Linked DNA regions of Nothobranchius furzeri. The protein of the gene in region 2 interacts with the protein of the main gene of each other region in a pairwise test. Links are inferred from orthologs where the notes say so. Each region holds a gene or a part of one and is shown on either strand. Other genes may lie near its edges.

Evidence for each region.
Region 1: the proteins of ehmt2 (region 2) and rd3 interact in binary tests that used the Homo sapiens proteins (3 or more experiments, as listed by UniProt). The two-hybrid records come from large-scale screens. The link is inferred for Nothobranchius furzeri from reciprocal best matches to the Homo sapiens genes EHMT2 and RD3.

The regions. Positions count from the first base shown.
Region 1 is NC_091742.1:7,770,469-7,774,913, forward strand, and holds the start of rd3 (protein RD3), read right to left. Parts: upstream 3,070-4,445; 5' UTR 2,929-3,069; intron 1,758-2,928; 5' UTR 1,734-1,757; coding exon 1,444-1,733; intron 1-1,443.
Region 2 is NC_091759.1:8,513,462-8,517,282, forward strand, and holds part of ehmt2 (histone-lysine N-methyltransferase EHMT2), read left to right. Parts: coding exon 1-58; intron 59-218; coding exon 219-514; intron 515-600; coding exon 601-667; intron 668-1,087; coding exon 1,088-1,170; intron 1,171-3,821. UniProt on the Homo sapiens protein: Histone methyltransferase that specifically mono- and dimethylates 'Lys-9' of histone H3 (H3K9me1 and H3K9me2, respectively) in euchromatin.

The DNA.
Region 1 (4,445 bases), on a different chromosome or scaffold from region 2:
AAGGATGGAGATGTGTCAGCTAATCGGTTTGCTCCTATATCTGCTCGTCCATGTGGAGGAGGATGAAGCTTAATGTGCTTAAAGTTTTAAATTCAACTGAGCGTCTGAGGGGACATGTGAAAAAAGTAGTTTTCTCTTCATCATCAGATACTGTTTGTGCATACCTGATAGTGTGTTGTGCACACGAAATAGTAATTTGTGCTCACCATATAGTGTGTCGTGTGCACCGGATAGTAACTCATGCACACCAAATAGCCGTGTGCACCAAATAGTAACTTGTGCACACCAGATAGTAAGTCGTGCACAATAGATGGTCATGCACACCAGATAGTAACTCGTGCAAACCAGTTAGTCGTGTGCACCAAATAGTAACTTGTGCACAACTCGTGCATACCTGATAGTGTGTTGTGCACACGAAATAGTAATTTGTGCTCACCATATAGTATGTTGTGTGCACCGGATAGTAACTCATGCAAATCAGATAGTCGTGCGCACCAGATAGTGACTTGTGCACACCAGAGAGTATGTTGTGCACACGAAATTTGTGTTGACTAGGTAGTATGTTGTGTGCACCAGATAGTGTCTTGTGCACATTATTTACTTCAGCTGATATTAGTCAAAGTCAAGTTTGGGGTTCTTGATCCAAAATGACGTACATGTTTTTATAAATGAAGTCCTATTCGCCGTTATGGCTGCTCTCGTGGTCTGCCTGTATCTGTCCTGTCTATATGTGTGTGTGTGTGTGTGTAATCTTGGTCAGGCTGTTCTGTGGAGTCAAGTTCCTATGCTCTGGTTCGCTGGAGCGCTGGCAATAAAATTCTCTCTGATTCTCTGATTCTGATTCCTCCTCAGCTGTTCGCTATAGTAATCTGAGTCCGTGGACATTGTTTTGGCTAAAAAGAAAATCTGGTGCGCACATGAAACCAACTTTATTTTTACTTGTTTTCAGTCAGTCCAGTTAACTAGCTTTTCTCTGCTGGAAGAAAACATGTCAAGACAACATCTGGACTTTCTTGCAGCAGCATTGCGAGATGTCCTTAAAGGTGCAGTATGTGAGAATTTAGTGAGACTTTTACAGAGGCAAAGTCCCAGAAGAGTCTAATGTTTCAGTCATTTTGGAAGGAAGGTTAAACTGAAACATGTTTCATATCCATCTGACTGATGGTCAGTTTTTCGCCTTTCAAAATAAAAGAAGGAGGGATGTAACTACTGTTTACCATCAGTGAGTGTGGGGTTGCCCTGTTTCCTGCGAGCTAACGCTGCAGCTCCGACAATTGTAATTTGACGACGGCTGGCAAAAGCTCGGGTTGTTTAAAGTGACTGCGGTAACCACATTTAACCACAGGATGTCATTTTACTTCATTTCTACATAATGCACCTTTAAGTCAGTGTTGTTTCAGAAAAAACAAACGGACGTTTTGCTTCAGAGTTATTTTTCCTTACTTGAGGATGACCAGTCCGCAGCAGGATGGGGGCACCTTGGCGCAGAGGTCCTCCAGAGCGAGCCTCTCCCCGGTGCTGATGTTGAAGGAGGAGCGAGGCATGCTGGCCAGCCAGCTGTAATCCACTCCGCTCTTCAGGCGCCGGTACTCGTTCTCCCTCTCCTTCTGCAGTCGTTCGGTTTCCTTCAGCTGCCAGCTGAACTCCAGCATCAGGGTGTCGGTGACCACGTCGGCCGGGTCTTTGCGGGGGCTCCGATAATAAGGCTCATTCCAGCTGAACCAGGAGGCCATGACCTCGTTCTCCTCCACCCTTCACTACAGAAGTAGGGACACTAAATTACTGCCACGTCTGCTTAATCTGATGGATTTATGTGTGGATTCTTGATTTTCTTTTTCCTTTTCAGGATTCGCAAAATAACCAACCAGGTGAAGGCTAAAGCTTTATATCAGTCCTTCACACAAACATCAAAACACTCCTTCATCTCATCTTCCACCAGCTCTTTGTTCTGCAGGTGTTTTAATTCTGAAGCTTTTGTTTGAAAAGCCTTTTTGTGATAAAAGTACCGCAAATAAATAAACCTGGAGCGTATGATTGGTATTTAATCAGGTTTTTTTTCTTTGTGTTAATTTTTGCTCCTTCTGTTAGTGTTTGATTTAAATATTTTGCAAAAATAAAGTTTCCGGCTGCGATCATGAGCATTCAGTCATGTAGTTTTAAAGCACAGATTAAATGCAAACATCCATCCTGTCTTCTTTAATGTGGGTTTCAGTGCCCTCTTTTAATCTGGCAATAATCTGTTGACATGCAGCATCGCAGCTGCTCTCCACGCTTCCCTCGGCTGAACTGTCCTGGGACTTGTGGGTCAGATTAACCACAACGTTCCAAGGAAAAGTCAGAGAGACGGTGTGGGATTAGAGCAACACCTGCTGCCGCACATGCATCCACCAGCCGATCAGACCGACCCGGGGACCGAGCCGACGAGACGAGATCAAAGCAGACATTTAGCTCAACATCTATGCTCAATTCTAAATTAAATATTAAGGTTTCTTCACGAAGCAAAACGTGAAGCTTCTCATCGTTGAGAAGATTTTAAGGATAAAAGAGAGAAATCCTTTTATTTTGCATTGATTTTGGTAAGATGTTACTTAGACAAAAATGTGAGTATTGGAAATGGTGAGTCCAATTTTTGATTAAATGAAGTTATTCTGGTGCAAAAATGCATTAAATGTCAAGGACATTTGTTTATATCTGCGTTTATTTGTGCAAACATTCATCAAATAATCATCAGAAAGTAGTTTTTTAATTTAGAAATCATTTTGAATAGAAAATTCTCACGTTTTACAATATTTGTAGGTTGATTTAGGGTTTTTGTTTAAAAAATACTGAATTTTCAAAAGACTGTCTGTGAAGTGTTGCTGCCTACTTCAGTTATAAAATCAGAAAACTAGCGATCAGACTTTCTGTGTAAAATCTTCCTTATCTTACCTGATTTTAGAGTTAGGTTTTGTCACGAGCGTCACTAAGGAAACAAAATCCCAGCGGAACAGAATGAAAATCCTCAGACACCAGAAACCCAGCTGGATACTGAAAAGTGACAGAAGATAGATGGTCTCCTTCTCCTTCTCGCCTCTCCCATCCTCTCAGAACTGTCTCCTCCTCTCAGAGTGTTTTCCTCCTCCTCCTCCTCCTCCCCCCGGGAGCCTCGGCGGCCTGACTTTACTTGTTGCAGGAGGTTGAGGGCATCATCTCCAAGGGGAGCCATTGGATCACAGCCCCTGATGAAGTGCTTATGTAGCTTTTTACGATTTGCCGTTGCCATAGCGATGCTCCTAAGCCCATTTGCCCACAATAAGCTCTATCAGCTGAAAGGGAGCTGGAGAGCGACGAAGAGGCAGAGAGAGAGAGAGAGAGAGAGAGAGAGAGAGAGAGAGAGAGAGAGAGAGAGAGAGAGAGAGAGAGAGAGAGAGAGAGAGAGAAGAGAGTGGGCTGAGCAGCAGAGATGGATGGAGTGGATGCTGCGGTACGAGTCCATCAAGGAGAGGTCACCACCGTGTGAATGAATGAACTTCCCTCAGATAATGAGGCGTGATCAGTTTTACAGGATGTGTTTTAATTCATTACAGGAGGAAAGGAAATTTTCTGAGATGCAGGTAGTCGAGTTCAGGCTGAGCGTGCACTTATTGTGTAGGTGGAAATCAAGGTTTGTTGGTTTCTTCTGTGTGCAGGTGGGAGGAACCAACCTCAGACACGTTCTCTCTTTGCACATATTCCTCCTCCTTCTCCTCCTCCTCAGTTTTCTGTTGGAAGTCAAACAAAGAGTGACTTCACAACACCATTAGAGGAAATTTAACATCTTCCTGTGCCGCTGTGCCAAAACATTTTAAGACAAACATCAAAGGATTTTACTGTGGATGGATGAGTTTGTATGGCAAGCCATTTGTGTATTTATCCAATCTTCTTTTGCTCCACAAATCCAACATTACACCACAGTAGTTGGATCAAACGCTGCTCAAGTTGAATAAAAACATTACTAGCAATAACTTTTTACCATGTAGTGGGAATTTTTACCAGCTAGTTAAAGCTGAAGTCGTAGTAGTCAGTCAAAGGGCTGTACTAGCAGGTCAAAACCCATAACTAGTTAACGTATTCTTAGTAAATCACTGAGTAAAACTTGAAGATAGCAGTAATAAACAGTTTAACTAGAAAGCATCAAAACCCTTTTATGTTAACTAATCAACACAAATGTGTAAAATCTAATTTACTATTAAAACACTAAGTTTAACTAGTTGATGGTATTTTTCCTTGCTATGTACGTAATTGCAGCAAGTCATGTGCTACTCCTCGTGTATCAACTACTAAAAATAGTAGAGGTAGGACATTCTACTAAAAATGTCCGAACTGTTTACTAGTTAACAACTACAGTTAAATGTGGTCCTACTAGTTTACTATCAAAGCCTAAAACTATTCAACAACCAGCTAATACACCTAACATTGGTACTACT
Region 2 (3,821 bases):
GCTGAGGATGGAAGTCAGCGCTCTCCTGCTTCCTCCCCACCTAACAAACCTGCTGCAGGTGAAACTCAAAACCAGTCTTTGACTAAGCTCCTGACTTAATCAGGTTCTGAAGAGAATTATTAAAATTTGACTGTTTTTTTAACGTAGTGATCGCTTAGTTTAATCTTTAGTAACATGTTTTTTCATCTTCAGTAACAGTTTGTATCTCTTCTTAACAGGTCACGCAGCAAAGTCCATTTCCTCAATGTCATCTTATCCTTCCACCTCTTCATTTTTTTCCCCTGGTCGGGCAAAGATGAGCGTTTCCGGGCCGTCTTCTTGTAAATCCGTCCTCCCACCTGGCCCTTCCTCCTCTTCCTCTTCTTCATCCTCCTCCTCCTCCTCCTCCTCCTCCTCTTCTTCCTCCTCCTCTTCCTCTTCATCTGGCTCAGCTTCGTTGACACCTTCTGTCTCCCCGAGTCCACACAAGATCCACCGGGCCCGTAAGACCATGAACAGGCCTTCACCCGGCCAAGTAATGACTTCTGTTACACATTTTTATTCCCACAATTGTTTGTTGTTTTACTTTTTCTGAAAGGTTAGCATTTTTTTATTCGACAGGTGAGTTACGCTGAGACTCCTGCTACGTCGGGTTCCTCCACCTGCTTCTCTACTGACTCTGAAACAGGTAAGTTCTAAACTTCGATCATATTTACTCCTCCGATTGTTCTCCAGCACTCGTAATTACAGGTCCTCTTCTACTGTGTGGTTTTTAAATTAATTCAATGTACGCCGATCACTTCAGCTGGTTTTTGGATTGTTCGTACCGACCTGCAGCTTTTGGTTGAATCAGAAAACTAGTTTTCATGCAGAAGTCTCAGTTGGCACCACTCTGCTCAGGTGTTGCATGGCAGAATGAGCCAATCTTTGCCTCCTGATTCGGCTATATCTCTTAAACACATCGTTGCAACACCAACATGTCTTTTAAAACTCAGAAAATGCTCCTGAAATCTTGTTTTCCATGTAAGTTTGACTGTTTAAAAAACTAAAAAGGCTTTTTTTTCTCTTATAACTGTCACGCTTTGTGTTGTTTTTCTGTTTCCACCAGCTGCTAGAAAGAGAAAACTGGGTCATGTATCAGAGAGTAAATCTGAGAAGGGCGACAGCGTTTCAGAAAAAGGCCAAACTGTGGTAAGTTGATGTCTTCGTGTTTGATTTACTGGGGGGGGGCCGTAAGCATTTGAACACCTGAGGAATCGGCAGAATTCTGGCTCAAAGACATTTTACTCTAACTTCAAAGTCCACCTCTACTCCACATATTAATCTAAACTGGCATCACCTGTCTAAGCTTCTTAAGCACATCTGTCCACCTCACAGTCAGTCAGTCAGACTCCCAACTACTAACCATGGGCAAGACCAAAGAGCTGTCAAAAGACACCAGAGACAAAGTTGTGGACCTCCATAAGGCTGGAAAGAGGTACGGGGCAATTGCTGGGCAGGTTGGTGAAAATAGATCAACTGTTGGAGCAATTGTTAGAAAATTCAATTCAAGTTTATTTATACAGCGCCAAATCACAAGAGTTGTCTCAAGGCACTTCACATAATAAAGCATTCCAACACAGGCCAGGGGCCTCATTTATCAAGCTTGCTTACGCACAAAACGGGGTCGGAAAACTGCGTAAGCAACTTTCCACGCAAACTTTGGGATTTATGAAGGAAAACTTAGCGGAAAAATGTGCGCAACTTTAAGTTGACTAAGGACCTGGCTTACGCACATGTTGGACATGGAGAGCACCTGCAGTGCTGCTGCTGAGAAGGATAAAATTATGAAATCCTGCATTATTATCACTTGTACTGCTTCGTTTTCACACAGAACAAGACACCCCACATGCACACACATGCGCGTGCACACACGAGCTCGCGCACACACACACAGCCTGAAGTGCAGAATACGGAATGCAGAATATCAGCAGGGGGACAGATTGAGGCAGAATGTCGTGCGTCTGTGACAGTGTGTGTGTCTCGTCACTGTGATAAGATTGATCATGTGCCCTGGCTACTTGGACAAGAGAGATTACTGTTTGGCTGACTGGTTAGCGCGTGTGACTTTCACTCGGGAGTCGGGATCGACTCCTGTTTGGATCATTTTTTTATATCCGCCACAGGAACTCATCATTAAGCTCCTCGTGATTTTTATCTTGAAAGGCGCTATAGAAATGATATTTTCTCCTTCTTCTTGACGGCTTCAGCAACACTGTGCCACTCCGTGGATTTTCTCTTATTTGTTTTGCAAAAGCACTTCCTTTCATTTCGCCACCTCAACTTCTACTTGTGAAATTGGGCTTCCTTGGTCTGCCTTGATCTACGGTCGCCATGTCATTGGCGGAGCACTGCAACAAGCCGGCTTATGTATATGCATGAGATCCACAAGGCACTTTGCATTGAATATTTATGGCAGTAAGTGGGTGTGATGAGGGCGGGATGTGACCAAAAAGCAGCTGAGAACATTTGTAGATAGTTTCCGATTTATGGAGCAGAGATTGCGTGCAGCTGTGCGTACTCCATGTTTGATAGATCACAAACCTACTTGGTGTAAGTACTTTTTTTTTTTTTTTTTGCTGAGCTTAAGTACGGTTTTAGTAAGGATTCTACTCAATGTTTGATAAATGAGTCCCCAGTTCATTAAGCCAATCAGAAAAAAGTTTCCTATATAAGGAACCCAGCTAATTGCATTGAGTCACTGACGCTACAGCGATCCTCATACTAAGCAAGCATGCAGCGACAGTGGAGAAGAAAACTCCCTTTTAACAGGAAGAAACCTCCAGAGGATCCTGGCTCAGTATAAGCAGCCATCCTCCACGACTCACTGGGGATCAAGAAGATAGAGCAGACACACACACACACACACACACACACACACACACACACACACACACACACCAAGTAATGTTTCCATGGTTACATTGTGATCCTAGTGATTCTATAATTAAACGGGTAAACTAGTAGTAGCACATTCTATGTCAAAGAAAGTAAAATGTTATTATCAGGAGAGGGAGAATGTTTAAGTGGTTAGCAGCAGTGTGCTAGACGATGGCCCCCTCCATGAGGGCACCACAGCTCAGCAGAACATCGATGTAGCTTCTTCTGGGGAGAAAAACACTTAGAGAGAAAATAAAGTTAACAGCTGAAACAGCAGGAAATAATACAGTTAAAGAGCAGATTGTAGAAGAAAGTAGTCGAGTGTGGAAAGTGGTCAGTGTGTCCTCCAGCAGTCTAAGCCTATAGCAGCATAACTACAGAGCTAACTCTGGATAACCTAGCCTTTTACCCCCAAATTCCACTACCTCCGCTCCGCTCCGGTCCGGTCCGCCCCCGCCTTCCGCAGCCGCTCGCTTCCGAACTCAATTTTTACTGGTACCCGCTCTACAACGGCTCCGCTCCGGTGCGGAGACCTGAGGTGGGCAAACAAGCATGCGCAGGATTTTCGAGATCTTGCGATACAGTCCGAGCAATAAACGCGGAAGTTAGATCCAAACACCCGTTGTGTGGGAGAAGCATCAAAATGAACTGTTTAATCTGCCCATCATTTGTGTTGAGAGATCAGCAGTGTTTGGATCAACAAAGTGTGACTACTTTGATAGTAGAAACTGTATTTATGGCTTACTTTTGTGCATTTAAACTTCAGCTGCCACTGATAGTTGTTAAAAGTTGTTAAACCTGTGCATATGAAACAAAAAACGCCTTTTGTTTATCAATTTATTGTGAAAAACGGAAGTTGTGCTCGCTCCTTTTCCTGTTGGGCGTTTGTGATTTCTGTCCATTGACTGCGGAGGTGCTCCGGC